Oryza sativa Japonica Group: one gene and its partner. The protein of the gene in region 2 interacts with the protein of the main gene of each other region in a pairwise test. Links are inferred from orthologs where the notes say so. Each region holds a gene or a part of one and is shown on either strand. Other genes may lie near its edges.

Region 1 (7,942 bases), on a different chromosome or scaffold from region 2:
AGACCTGAAAATGACCCGCCAGATGATTAAACCATATTATGACCAGCTGGGATGCAAATCTTCGTCGGCCGGTGCATTTAAATCCTCTGTAATGACACTTCCAGCTCCCCTCAAGTTCCCAAAAGAAGCTACAAGGAGAAAGCGACGAAGGTTCTGATCATCTCAGAAGGATCTTTAGCCTTATCTGAATGTGGGTGTGATAGGAAAAGATTGTTCGAAGTTGGGCCTGAGTTTATGCATGCTCAGCCCAGCCTTCCGAATTACTGAAACATGTGGAATATGGCTTTTGCCTTGTTTTTGTTTCCCCTTGTCACCTGGAGTTGCTGTCACAAAGGCAGAATATTGTTTATGTATTGATGACATTTTTTAACCCTTTTTTTTTCTCATCTTGCCTACCAGAATTTACATTGAAGATATCTAGCTTTTGCCTTGCATGAATGCCGTGGATAGTATTATCTCAGTATCTTGTTGCCACAATGCATTGCTAACGTCCAAGCAATCTTTGCATTCATGCAGTATTTTGTTTCTTCAGTTTGTAAGATTGCCTTGATGGGATACATCATATTGCATTAAAGCCGATGCTTCAAAATCTGGAAACATGTCATGCCTAGATTAGGATGAAAAGGCATAGGTTTCAGATCCTTTCAAGAAAGTAACCTCCATTTCTTTTTATAAGGCGTATTATGAAGTCAAAAGGTCAAGACATATAAACTTTGACTACTAGCTATTTTGTTAATTAAAACAGAACCAACATTATATGAAAATACATTGAAGTATAATTTTGTTGGTATAGTTTTTACATGCCAAATATACTTACAAACTTTGACATTTTGACTTTATAGTATGCCTTATAAAAAGAAAAAAGGAGTACAAGAATATAAGCTTGCAAAATACAACCGCCTTTTTAAGTTCATCACACTAACCATTATATTAGCAGGCAAACAGAAGTAAAAACTCTCTCAGGCTGGTAAAATTATTCCATAATAGCTACAACAATTGTAGGATGAGATAAGAATCTCTGATAGGTTACATCATCATCAATCTAAAAGTTTTGTTCTACAACACCGATAAGACGAGCCTTCTAAAACACAGGGGGTGATGAGTAAGGACTACTTGTGATCCACGAGGCAGGGGGCTTTCTTTCTTTTTCATTGCTAGTATACATGGCATTATTCATCCTAACACTTGTGCTAGCTCAGGACTTCTCCGCTATGTCACCGCCTGCGTCGTTATCTGCTCCCGCACTCTTGTGGCTCTCGGTCCCGGAAGGCTCCGAGGTTGCATCCTGCTTGTTTCCTCGGCCATCTACCGAGCCCGGTGCTGCCGTCTGAAGATCGGCTGCGCGAGCAGGGTCAGCAACTGGGATAGATTGCATGCCATTGACAGTACCTGGTCTCATTAGCATCTGGCCGGGGAAGGCTAGAGCCTGAGCTTGCTGTTGCTGGAGTTGCTGCTGCTGCTGCTCTTGCATCTGTTGTGGGGTTAAGGGAGTTCTTGGAGGGAACATCGGTACTTGGGACATGTAATGCCCAGCACCTGGGGTAGCACCAGGCTGCATCATCTATTCGGAGAAATAGTTATTTGAGTGAACTTAACAGTAAGGAGAGATTGAGGCGGTGTTATGCTGACATGTGGAACATAACTAACCTGAGGGCGACTTCCTGGATTCTGAGGTGGTTGGGCATCTGCAATGGCAGCCAGATACAAGAGATTCTTTTGAAGCTGAGCTTGGTACCTAAAATATGAGAGCATGAAAGATAAGCATTGTTACAAGATCATTTAGAAGGCTGCATCCAAATAGGCAGATCACATTACGAATAATTCAATTAAGACAACTAGACAAGTTTGGTGCATCAAAGAAGATTAGAAATCTTGCAACCTTCTTCCTTGACAGATGAAACTAGCATGGCAAAATCAAGATGGAATGAGTAATGCAGATGCTCAACTGTTAAACTAATCTTGTTTTTTCCCCCAAACTTCAAAAGAATTTTCTGTTGTGAAGTGAAAGATCCAACAGTAGTAGAATACTACATGCTGGTATCACTAGGATGATTTTCATGCCTTGGGGTAGTTACTATTCAGACAAAAAAGATGGGAGCTAAGCAGGAGTTCCTTCACTAGAAGGTGTAAAACGAAAATGATTGTTACACTTCCAAGAACATTAAATTTAAAACAACTATCTGCCCACAAAAACTTATATCTTCATGGCATCATGTTACACGTAGGCCCAAACTCCACTGAATGCATGTAGATAGGAAAGATCCATCAATAAAGCAATGATAGATCCCTTATAGGACTTCATAGTAGCACTTGGATAGAAGATCAAACTCCTCATCCATTGCAACAATTAATAAGGCATTCAGCTGAAAATCTAACTTTCCATTGCATAGCACAGGCCAACAGATATATACGATATCATACACTGGATAGACCAATAGAGTAATTAAGCAAGGTGTTCCAGATGATCAAATCAGGCACAGAAACAAGATTTTATTCTCCATATTATAGGTCCTCAGTAGGGAAGACAGTGAATAAGCATATACTTCATGCAAGTCAACTAAACTTCAGATGCCAAAACATATTGGCCACTGTCATTTAGATCCTCCAAATGGTAAAGTAAATTTCAGATGCCAAAACTTATTGACCACTGTCATTTAGATCCTCCAAATGGTAAAGTAAACTTCAGAAGACACAACTATCAAAACTTGGCACTTGTGTGCAATCCTTAGTGCATGATTTTAACAGAATAAGATCAAATGACTTCAAATGTAGTTCTGAAAACATCTTCCAAGCCGTCAACAATTGCAGATTTCCAATTTTAGGTCATTTACATGAAACAAAATGGTCAAGATATGGCAGCCACCTAGAAGCATTTCATATAGTAATCCAGCAATAAAGCCTTTCAAAGATGTTTAGCAAGCAACTTACTGAGCACATTCAGCCAACTTCCCTAGGTTTTGATTTTCCAGGATGGCCAAAATTAGCTGTTTATTTTCATCCAAATACTGCAAAAGAGAAATTGAATAAGTATCTGAAGTTAATGATGTTGATGACCACGCTATAATGCTAATCTATGTGTAATCTTAAAATAATTCATTTATCGTCTCTCTGTAAGAATTGTATATGCAGTTTCATTCTACAATGGCAACATGGTTTATTTCTTGAAAAACCCAAGCTTAAGTTAATGCTAGCCATTCGATATTAGGTTTCTGATGTCAATGCTATTGTGATCAATAGTGGACCAATGATTGAGAAAAGGTTGATTTCTTTCGTATCAAACTTGATGCAACCACAACTACATGATCAGAGAGCTGACATAATTCAGATGTGTGATTCTGTTGTAACTGAAATGTAAGGGGCCAAAAGGTGTGTAGCATAAAATTTTGCAGGCAGAGTTCTTTTATGTTGACATGTTATCATCAATATTGATCAGGTATAATAACATGCATGAACATTTTCTTATAACAGTGGCAGGAGCTGTGCCAATTATTAAGCATATAAGAGAGAAATTAGCATATAAGTAGGGCATAAGGTAAATTGAAGCTACACAGAAGGGCAAAATAGACCACATCAGTGGTTACAGAGCACAAAAAAGAACAAAACTACTAACAAGAAAAGGGGCAATGAAAGCAGAAAGCCGTATTCAAGAACCCCAAAAAAAGGGGAAAACCGAACTTGTGGACTACTAAATTCCTATCATCCTCATGCATTAATGCATGCTTATCATTTCAACCGTATCATGCTTTTCGCAATATTACAGTATTACCAAATTTGGAGACTGGTGGCTATAGATTCAAAATTTGGTTCAACTGGAGACCACACCCCTTACTCCTATCACATTTTCATGCCTATTTCGACTTCTCTTAAGCTGTTTAAACCTCTAATCCCCCATGCACAAGCGTCTCCACTCTCTGCAAAAATGCGTTCTTATTTACGCCTCAGTGATTAATCCCCCCATTTGATTAAAGGCAAGACAAGAACAAAAAGGCTCAATACTTGTCCACCCGGGCACGAAAAAGATCTGATCTTTGGCCGAAGCAATCGCCAAAGGAGCCATCTTTTCCAGAAACCCTAGCGAGATAGAGAGAGAGAGAGAGAGAGAGAGAGAGAGGGTGAGGGAAGCGAAACGAACCTTTTGGATCTGCTCGGTGGTGATGCCGGCCGCCGGCGGCACCGCGGCGGCGGCGGCCCCCGCCGGCATGGCCATCTGCTGCTGCATCTCGCCGCGGCGGCTTCTTCTTCTTCTTCTTCTTGCCTCAGTTTCTTGGTCGAGGGTGGATTTGGTGGGTGCTTTGTGCTTTTCGAGGTTTCTCCAGTCGTTTCAGCTTGGTTTGGTTTGTGTTCAGAAAGAAAATTACCTGAGAGCGAGGAGGAGGGAAGATTACGAATCTACCCTTGTTGGTGGACAATGAGAATCGTTTCTCTCCCACCTCCGTCTGCAGTTGTGTATTTTCGTCTCTAACGTTTGATTGTTCATATTATCTAAAATAAATATTATGATTAGTATTTCTAGTCTTATCATATGATAAGATATGAATAATACTTTATGTGTGACTAGTTTTTTTAATTCTTTCATAAAGTTTTCAAATAAAAAAGACAGTCAAATATTAGACACGAAAAATCATAATTGTACTTATATTGGGATGGATATAGTAGTAACGGCCACATAGGTATGGTTTGAGTTTACTCGAAAAAATAGGTACGGCACTAAAAACCAAAAGAAAAGAGCATGATTAATTCAGTTTTAATTATTTTAATTTGAAAATTGAATTTATCGCATATTTTAATATATAGAAAGTTTTCGCGCAGAACACATAGTCTATTCGTGTGAAAAATGTGCTAACGAAAATCGAGATAGAATATATGTATCTTAATCAGAAAAATAGGTCACTTACACGGTTTAGGCACGTACTTCCATCCCTTCACACATTTTCTGATAAAATAGAGAAAATATGGTAAATCTTTGATCTCATTGATTTTTTATTTAAAGAGGCACCTATACGTACATAATATTTATGGACACTAAGATTTAAACACTGATGAGGAGATTTATGGACCCATTCATTCATCACCATCCCTGAAGGTTCTTCTATGTTATAAAGGATTTTCACATGCAAGAACAAAAATATAATTCATTTTGTGTAGAAATTAGAATTTTTCTCACTTTTCAAATGGAATACTTCCTTTGTTTTAAAATAGGACATTGCTGACTTTTAGGCCTGATATTTTATTATTCGTCTTATTTAACTAATCAAGTGTAAAATATAAAAAAAATTGAGTCATGGTTAAAGTATCTCAAATGATAAAATAAGTTACAACAAAATAAATAATAACTTTTAATAAGACGAATTAGTGATTAAACATCATGTCTAAAGCCAATCATGTAGTACATTTAAAAACTGAAGGGGTATGATATTCAATTTTGAGCATACTATTGTTGGCAACTACGTGAAATTAGTGGATGACAACCGAATATTGATACAATATTCACCCTTTTTTTTCAATGGAACCTTAATCTTTGTAAAGGAACTTCCCTCGTATTCATGTGGACATACTGTAATTTTTTTTTCCATTTAAAACATTTAGAGAAAATATATGTTCCATAAAAATTTACTACCAATGCTAGTAGAGAGCATGATATATTCTCTTTCGTTAGCATATGGCTGCAGAATGGAGAGTGCCAACATTTGCTCTCCAATGGAAGCAAACTTTTGTGAGTGAGAGTGATGGGAGGGGCAAATCTGTCGTTTCATCGAGTGCACTGTTACCGTTGTGATGGCTGCCGCTGTTGGAGAGTGGCTGGCAACTAGCATGGCGCGCTGCAGCAACTCTTGGAAGAAAGTACCTGAAATCCATGTGAAGGCGTAGAAGGTGAGACACGTTTTCCCCCTTCACCTTTGCCTCTTCTTTTCTTCTTGGTTGTCTCACTTCAAAGAATGGTATACAGATTATGTAACAATACAGCTACTCTACCTGGGCTATATTTGTCTTGAAAATATAAAAACCAGATGCGTAGATTAGTTTTAAAAAGTATTTCAATAAAATTATATATTTGTTGATATTTCTATATATATATTATAATAGAAAATAGTTGTCAAAGCTACTTTTTGAAGACCGTGTCCTTGTCCAAAACGACAAGTATTATCAACCCGGAGGGAGTAACTATTAGCTATAAATGAATCTAAGAGTTAACATGTATAGTTGATTGAGAGCTACCATATGTACGATATTTTGCCTACGGAGCTCGTACGATGTAATGTTTTCAACGGAAGCCAATCATGTTGTCCAGTCATTTTCTAGCGATGCAACTAAGTAACGCTCACCATTCGTCAGCAATCGTACGAGAATCGTACATAACAATTGTATGCATAGCATTTTCGATAATAGATTAGCTATAAGTTTATCTCTAATTTTACCTTCTTATCTTTATGTAATTAATAGGAGTATTTGCTTAGAAGAATATGTAAGAGCTAGCACTCATTATTTTTCTTATTCTCTCTCCTCCATATAAGCATGTGATTGGCTTATAGTTATTAAATTTGCTCTTAGGATAATTCGATGTGAGAGTTAAAACTTAAGACTCCAGACAATGGTATGGCTCATGTCTTGGGGTTAATGCTTATGCGGGAGAGCTGAATGTTATGATAAACAACTTATGAGAATCGGGGTGTTTCTAAATAGTTATCTACTCCTTACAATGGTGGAGCCAGAAATAATAAAATTTGTCTGCAATTTGCTTATCCTCTAGTAATTACAATGATAATCCTTGTGCAATTCAAATGTCTTTGGAGTTTAGAGGGAAACAAGTTCAAGCAGCTCAAAAGGGAGTGTAAGCTTTGACCACAAGCATTGCCGGGCCCACAAGGTCAGAGGAAGCCAGCCAATGGAGGGTGCTCAAGCCATGTGGTTAAAGATTCTTGCTGACTGCCGGTGCACGTGGCAGAATTTATAGGTTGCTGGGCCAGCTCAACGTGGCCGCAGAATCTATCTACTCTCTCACTCACTGCTGCTGCACAGACGGTGTCGCTGGTTCGTACTCTTTCCTTCCGTCCCATAAAACATGACATAGAGCAGTGTCACATCTTGCTCTGATTTGCATTTTAAGAGACCAAGTGAGTACAGAAGATGAAGATGAAGAAAACCATTAGCTCAAGATTAATTAAGTTTTAATTATTACGAATCTTTAAAATTAATTTATTTGATATTTTGAATTAACTTTTGTATAAATTTTTTTAACGAAATATACCGTTTAACAATTTAAAAAACATAGTAATGAAACCGATGTAAAATATGTATCCACTACTACATAAACGATATTTTCAAATGACACCCCCAAGCAGTTTACATGTACTAGCTCATAAGTACCTCCTCCCTCCGTCCTAAAAAAATATGGGACTGGATGTGACATATTCTAGTATAATAAATCTAGATAAATGTAGGATGTGTTATATCCAATACTAGATTGGTTTTTTATGGGACGGAGGAGCACATCTGAAAAAAAAAAACTGGTTTAGGCCAGTTGATGGACCGTTGCGACAACTTAGATATCAACTTAGAACTGAGAGGCCTTGTTTGTTACTAAATGAGATAAAGATTTCATTTCATGTTTTATTAGCATGTTTTTTAAGAAAATATTAGCACGTTTTTCAAACTGTTAAACGGTATATTTCATATAAAACTTTATATGCAGAAATTGATTTAAAATATCAAATAAATTCATTTTTTAAAAAATAAATAACTAAAACTCAATTAATCATACGGCTTTTTTTTATTTTGCATCTCCGTACTTAATGTTATTCAGCACTTACGAACGGGACCAGTAATTTGATCGTTTAGTTGGATGGAGTGTTTGTTGATATTCTCAGTCTTAATCGTAATTTTCACAATCTTACGAGTGCCATTACTAATTACTGGTATTTTGTTGGAGTATGACCAGAAATCG
Region 2 (7,862 bases):
ATCGCTTTTGAGTCTTCTGGGTGCATAAAAAGCAGGTGGCAAATGGCATCAGGGCTCTCATCTTGCACACCAGTGCAACTGCAAGCCTAGCTAGCTGCTATTGCTGCTGATGATGAATCATTCTACTGTAGGCTACTGTAGAGCAAATCATCAAAAGGGAGAAAACCACACAGTGCTTGCTTGCTGCCTGTGGTGGAGTAGAGGCTGGCCATGGATGCATGCATGCAGTGATGAACATTGGGTAGTTACACAAGCTAGAGGGAGGCTGGTCTCTTTTTGCAGGGCTTGGCAGCTGTTAAAAGAGGAAGAAAAGGCTGGTGGTGAATGGTCCTGAAATTTGTATCATTGTATTCTGGTGAGGCTGTTGGTTGGGAGTACAATCAGAACTGGATTAGACCACTAGTCCACTCTGTCAATAATAGTGGGAAAAGAAAGACCGCCCTCAGGCTCCAAAAAGCAATGCTAAACTATTTGGTCAGAATTTTGCACAGATTTAATCGCAAGGACCCCCCCCCCCCCCAAAAAAAAAAAAAAACCCCAATTGCCTCGTCCAAACTGACCTAACTATAGTTCTCATTTGTCTAGTTTAGTGACTGCAAACAAAGTAGAAGTACTATGCAAAACTAGTATACACCGAATATATGGTCCAATAATTGGGAGACAAACAGAACAGTCCGTACACGAAATACCAGTGAAACACTACACGAATGCCGCATGGACCAACTAAAATTACCAACAAGCATCAAGAAGTCAAGAGGAATACTTATATCAGCTCACAAACAATCCATTGAATACTACCAGAAAGCAAGACAAGGATCGGATTACATTCATCCGCGATTATGACGTCACAGCATGGGATATTTTAAGATGATATGCCACAATGGAGTACCAAATCCATCCATACCACACGTCATATCACGTCAAGATCCAAGGTGAAGGTTACAAAGCAAAGGAAAAATAACAGAGCAGAAATACCAAAAACACAAGATTAGTCTGAATGACAAAGCACCGAGGTAAATGCTCACACTTGAAGACGTCATAACGATATGTAACAAGGTGAAGACTGATTGAATCGTTTCCTCATGCCTGTCATCTTGTTGCATTTTTTGTTGATCAAGAAGCTCACACCAGGCGGATGCTCGGATGATTTACAACAACTGAACCGAGATCATCCCGCAGGTTACTGTTGCCATCATAAACACTATGATTCTCCAGTCTAGGACTGCTTCCGGTGCTACTGGATACTGATCCAAAGGTGGTCTTCTGCAGAACACCAACTGGGGATGAATCAAACCCTGAGCTTGAATCCCAGCCATCATTTAAAAGATTCAGAGACTCCGATAGGCAATTCCTTGCTTCCATGTTGTTATTCTTGGTTAAAACCTCTCCCAATGGTCCGCCCATCAAAGAATCACGGAACATAGGCATCCAGTTTGCTTCTCCCTGGTTAACCTCATCTCTATTTGCTGCAAAACCGAGACCAATAGGACTATATTCACGGCTCAGTTTAAGTGGTGACAACATCAGCTTCTCATGGATGGGAGATGTTGAGGCTGATGACAGGTCAGAAGACGCCATTGGAGCAGATATTGAGAGCTGGCTTCTCTGAGCTTGCATGTCTTCAGCATCAGGCCATGCGAGAGCTCCTTGTGCAGGTGTCCTTGGCCAGTCCACAAAGTGTTGAAGGGAAACTGAACTCTGTTGTTCATTCAGACTCTGCGAAGTGAGCAAATTGACGTTCTCCAAGGAGCTATGAGGAGAACTCATCAGTGAATCAGGTGATACTAGGCCAAAATCTGGCCTTGAGTTGGACACTTCAAAAGGATTATGTTGTTTTGAGAACGGAAACAGGCTGCCCGTATTTCTCGTGCTAATGGAAGTCAGCATCGAGAGACTGTCTGAGTCTTGCACTTGTTCACTCTCATTATGCTTGTTTGCCAGATCCCTGTAGAAGTTTGATCAACAAGTGATTCATTAGTGAAGTAGTTAATACAGCATATAGCAGTTGTTCCTTTAGTATGGCAGTTCTTCAACGGCCACTCTACTCACAAAACAAGTACCTTTAGGGCTACCAGAGTACATAGATGAGCAATGTAAATAATGGACTTGTTTAATTGCTGGTAAATGATTAATAGCTTATCTTTGGGGCTCATCTCCAATCATGGTAGCTAAATAAACTAGGTAACTAAATTACCTTCTATCTTTATTATTTGGTGGATGCCGGCAGGCAAATATGTACGGAAATGGAATATCCATGCAAAATGGCAAAAGCGAAACTTGACGTCTTGAGCTTAAGCATTGGCTACATGATTGACTAAAAGCAATATTTGGAGCTTGAAAGTGCTGCCAACATTCTACCTGCTATATTGCAGAGAGCAAGGATTGGCAGTGTTGGCAGCGTAGTTCTTCATTTGCTGGTGCTGATGGTTGATAGCGAGGCCAGCAACAGCTCCGCCACTGTGGGCGGCCGGAGCACTAGGCTGGGTAGCAGAGGCAGCGGCTGCTGCCACCGCCGCGGGCATCGCTTTCGCGGCATGGCCAGGCTGGCCTTCCACATGCTTTCTTGAACGGTGGCGTCCCCGGTTCATGTGTCGCTCACAGTACTTCTGGTCGGCGACCGCATCCCTCGAGCACCGCCATTTCTTGCCGTCCGTCCGGCGGCACCGGCCGGGCTCCGGATCCGCGCTGCCGGAGTAGCCCAGCTGGAAAGATCCCCATCCCACTGCAAAGCAAAAACCCAACCAAGGGCAATGCAACCAAGATCAGGGAATGGAACAGCTTTTATCATAAATATCAGTCCATGATGAAAGGAACTAAAGCCAAGAAAGCATTCGGTTGATCTGCTTCCTTTCCCATTTCTTGGCTTACATGTGCTTGAGCCAAAGTAGGCAGGTGAGTAGGGCGATGTGAGGCTCCTCCTGATGGGGATGAGGAGGCTGTGTGGTACAGGGCTATTCGCAGCCAAGTACTTGTATATCAGCGCCTGGTGCTCCAGCTCGATCCACTGAGACGGCGTGAAGGGACCCCTCACCCTGGCCATTGCACCCTGCATGCTGCTGCTCAAGCTCACTGAGCTCAATCCTGCAGCCAGATACACCAAGGAGATGAGCAACAAGCTAGGCAGTGCAAGCCAACAAGGCACAGCCAAAACACACATGTACTTTATAGAAGACGAGACGACGACCACCATCCAGATGCATGTGTTTCCTAAACACGATCCTTGTGCAAGATATAACATAGATAGGGGCAAGCAAAAGACACAAAAATCTGAAGCAAAGTGGCTGCAAGGATCAGAAGCAGCACGGATTTGTAGGTGGCGTGTGCATAAAAAGTCACCAACCAACCACATGTTCGATCCGTTGCAGCAAAGCTTGATTCGCGTTTGCCGCATTGTTTACTTGAAACCTTTCTTGCATGTTTTTATTTTTCCTACTTTAACCTTTCTTTCTTCCCTAGTGAGAAAAACGTAGTAGAAATAGTAGTGATATAATGCTAAAGATCACGACTTTTCTCATCCATATATGTGCTTTCTCCTTTAGTTTCGGCAAAAGGTATGACGAAAGAGAATACGCCCGATCCGCACCGATGAGGACAAGAAAGCGTTTGTGGATGTCACTGAAAAGAACAGGAAACTTATACTCCAGTATCAAGAAAAAATCAAGAACTAGTTTATACTCACACTCATCTATGCTAAAGATAATAAACTGGTCTATTTCAGAGGAAGTGAGCTATTCGCAGTCAGTGATCTAGTCAAAAGGAGACAAAAAAATGAGAAATATGAAACAAAAAAAATACAAGATGCAAATCCGAATCTAAACCACAATAGTAAAAGAACCAAGTGGGAAAAAAACAAAAACTAAAACTAAATCAGCTCCATCCCATCCCAGTGTGAGCAAGGATCAAGCATGATGCATAGCAACGAATAAAAAGGCAGAGAAGTAGCATAAAAAATGGAAAATAAATCTATAACAAAGAGAGATGAATCAAACAGCAATAATACTTGAAAAGGAGCAGAAAGCTTTTCAATCACCAAATCGAATCAGACGAGCAGAACAGAAAGAAGAAAAAAATAAAGGAAACGAAAAGATTTTTGCACCATCCTCACCTGAGCAAGAAGCAGGCGTGCCATAGTACAGCGGCATCGCCCCGCCAGCCGCCGCCGCAGCGGCCACGGCGGCGCCACCGCCGCCGGAGGAGCACGACGAGGCGGAGGACGAGAAGCTGAGCATCTGCTCCCCGCCATGGCCGGGGCTACATGACGCCCCGAGCAGGAACGGCGCCGCCACCTTGACCGCCTCGGACACCGCCGCCGCGGCCGCCACGGCGGCCGCGGCGGAGGACGCGTCCCCGCCCCTCGCCTGCTTCGCCGGCGGCCTCCATTCGTGCTCCTGGTCCCCCGCATTGCCCCTCCCGTGCTTCATCAGCCTAGATCCGAGCAACCCTCCCCCACCGAGCTCCCCGCCGCCACCCCCGTCCACCGCCGCCATCACCACCCCCACCCCGCCACCCAGGTCCATCCCCACCTCCTACCACTGCCCCCTCCTGCTCCCCCGCTCATCCGCCGCAGCCGCAGCTACCGGAGCAAGCGACCGCATCCCCCCCTCTCTCGCTGTGCGGGTTGTGGTGGCGCGCCGCGCGAGCGCGCGCGTGCTCTCGCGTCGCGTCGCGTCGCCGGTGGAATGGCGGATGCGTCGTCGTCGCGGGCGGCTCGTGTTCGGGAAACCGGGATGGTTTTCCTTTTGGGGGCAAAGGCTAGCCACAAGCCCCAAGTACTAGTAGTACAACACCCAGGGGTAAAAAGGGAAACTTGTTTGAAGATTTTTACTGCTACTGCTCCATATTTTTTTTAACCGAGTCATTTTACTGCTCTAACCACCGGCAAAATTGATGGTAAGGAGAGATCTTACTGTATAGCTGTGGCAGTAGTAAGTGGTACTGTAGCTGGTAAGATTTATTTGTCTGGGGGATTTTTTTTTTTACCTTTAATGTAGGGTGCCGGTATCTTTGCATTGTAAAGTTGCTCCAAATGCTACTAGATTCAACAACATTTATAAGAAGGATTATGATTCCTACCCAGAAGATTCAAAAGACATTATCTTTCCGAGAAGAAAGTACTACTGGAATAGCTAAGCCGAAACCACCATTTTGTCCTATAGATCAACCAGGACAAGCGTTGTGTTTGTGCAAGAGATGAACTGATAGATGTAACCGGTAGTTGACAATAGCAACAAGAGCAACTAACACCAACATTTGGTGGGTTCGATCGTTCTCCTCCCTACACATTGAACGGCAGGTACGTAGCATAGTGACACTGTGTGATATGCCGATAGCTTCATATCACTTATCTAGAGCTTATAATTGGTGTTAGATTCAGTTTTAGAAAATGAAATTTGGAGAAAGAGACGTCTCTAAAAAAAATTAAGAAGAAAATGTGAATGTATTGGGAACGGTATGGTACCTTGGAGTTAGAATCACACATCTCTTATCATTGCACTATGGAGTATATGTTAGTGTATATTTGTGTTAGATTCAGTTTTGATTGATATATGAGTTTGTTAGCTACTAGCTGCGTGCTTAGCTCCAGCCGCTCACTGGGCGTGGAAATTAGGCAATTAGCTGGTAAGTAAGTAGTAGTACTATCTTCCTGCGCTAATTAAGATATTAGGCCATGGAATCGCAGCCACGCGAGACGCACGTATGCATGGATCGATCGGTCCATATCTGTGTATATATATTTGTTGCGCACATGCACCTGAAATACCGTAGGCTAAGATCGCAGGAGTATCAATCATGGTTGAAGATTAGCACGCTAGACCACACGAGCAAAGCGGACGAGTCCTGGATCTCAAACAAGGTTAATGTGCAGTTTAGAGGAAATATATAACTTGAAGGGCCATTCAGTTTGGAAGATTTTGCACGGGAATCTTGGAGGAGTTAAACTGTTTTATGTTAAAAAAAACCTCTAAAATTTCTGCGTTCCGAAAAAGACCTAAATGCTCTATGACGAAGGGTTTGACAAAATAGTGCGGTGTAGTGGAATTAGTATGTTTTCAAGAAAAAGAAAAAGAAAAGGAAAGGAAATCACGAGGCAGCTCAGCTGGTTGATGTCTGAACCGTATAGCTAAAAAGTTAAATTTTAAAACTTAATTTTTAAAATTATTTATAGCTGTCTATTTTTCACCATATAAAAACTTGTAATATATATATATATATATATATATATATATATATATATATATATATATATATATATATATATATATATATATATATATATATATATATATATATATATAAAGTTGCGTCATATATTTCAACTGCAGCTTTACCGCCAGAGCCCATATTTCTAAACTCCTATATTTAGGTCATGAGCTTAAAATTTTAAGAAACAATTAGGCTGTGTTCGGGAGAAAGGGTTAGGAACCCCTCCTCCCCGGCATGCAAAACGATGTTTGCATTAATGTGTGATTAATTAATAGCTAATTTTTTTCAAAAATGGATCAATATGATTTTTTTAAGCAACTTTCATATAGAAAGCAGTTTGAAAAACATATGCGTGGAAAGCGAGAGTGGGGAGTTGTAAACTCTCAGCAAAGAATGCAGCCTCAGTATTTATTTATAAAGATTGGGTTTTCTAGCTTATGGTTACTATTTATTTTTCTAACCTTTACGACTATAGTTGATTTCAATCTAAGTTTGAATCTGAACCATCTTTCTTGATGAAGATTTTAAGTAGAAGTGGCCGTTGTTAAAAACTGCCCTTAATTTACAGAACCTAGCTTGCCGGGCGCCAAGGTGTGACAGGGATGGACCTGCAGGGACCCGATCGGAACACCGAACGGTTTCCACGCCCGTACGCTGTCCGCTTTTCGCCTCCGGTACGTTGCGTGCGTTCTCAATTTCTCCAACCTCTCGATCTTTGCCTTCTTTTGCCCGGACTCAGTAAAGACTCGGTAAATCAAGGCCGTAAAAAGAAGAGCTTTTGTATATCACCATATCACCTCCGTTCGCTCGCTGCAAGCTGCACGCGAGAGAGAATGTTCACCCAAACAGTAGGGGTAAACCGTGCTAGATCAGCTCAATTAACGGTAATCCCGCTGTGTTTGGCGGGCTACCTAACGCCCATTTCTACTGCAGATATATTCACTCTCATCGCACGAGAGTTACTGCCTCTATCATTCTACAATGATGGGATAATATTGTTATTTTTTTCCCAAGGCATTTCGATTTTTTTTTGTCTTTTTACTCTCCGTTATTTTTACCCCTAACACAATACATACTCCATAACCATTTTTCGATAAGTTTGAGGTGACAAACAATTATGATTGGTTAAATAAAACTAGATAAAAAACTAAATAAAAGATAGTTACGATTGATTATGATGGAGAATAGGTGAATAAGCACTTAAAAATGTTTATATTTTAAAAGAGATGATGTATTATTGATAAGAGTATATAATATATATGGAGTAAAAGTACTATGCTATATTATTACCGTGAGGTAAAACATCAGATGGAATTAAAAAACCAGTAGCATGACATAATCGTCACCCTTGGCATTAAAAACGTACACAATGGCACTATCTTCCAAAATAAATACTCGTGCAAACATATGCCAGTTGTTTGAAATGTCCCCCTTTCCCATCCAAATTAATTTACTACTGCCCATTTGTTTAGCCCTCCTCGATGTACTTAGGGCATTACAAAACCATCAAGTAGCAATATGCGTGGTCCAAGAGCACGGCTCCCTCACGTGCCTTCCCCCAAGCCATCACGAGCGGCTTAGTTTCTTAATAGCGAAAAAAATGTATAAGTATAGCTATAGTTAATTAACCTCTGCCTAATCGAGCTTTGTCACGGAGC

What was found.
Region 1: the proteins of growth-regulating factor 6 (region 2) and GRF1-interacting factor 2 interact in binary tests that used the Arabidopsis thaliana proteins (3 or more experiments, as listed by UniProt). The link is inferred for Oryza sativa Japonica Group from reciprocal best matches to the Arabidopsis thaliana genes GRF1 and GIF2.

Annotation. Positions count from the first base shown.
Region 1 is NC_089045.1:25,864,308-25,872,249, forward strand, and holds GRF1-interacting factor 2, read right to left. Parts: upstream 4,324-7,942; 5' UTR 4,220-4,323; coding exon 4,133-4,219; intron 3,006-4,132; coding exon 2,929-3,005; intron 1,736-2,928; coding exon 1,648-1,735; intron 1,562-1,647; coding exon 1,196-1,561; 3' UTR 949-1,195; downstream 1-948. Other genes in the region: DNA-directed RNA polymerase I subunit rpa49, read left to right, coding at 1-157. UniProt on the Arabidopsis thaliana protein: Transcription coactivator that plays a role in the regulation of cell expansion in leaf and cotyledons tissues.
Region 2 is NC_089037.1:30,699,914-30,707,775, reverse strand, and holds growth-regulating factor 6, read right to left. Parts: upstream 4,518-7,862; coding exon 4,106-4,517; intron 3,082-4,105; coding exon 2,869-3,081; intron 2,723-2,868; coding exon 2,359-2,722; intron 1,946-2,358; coding exon 1,123-1,945; 3' UTR 761-1,122; downstream 1-760. UniProt on the Arabidopsis thaliana protein: Transcription activator that plays a role in the regulation of cell expansion in leaf and cotyledons tissues.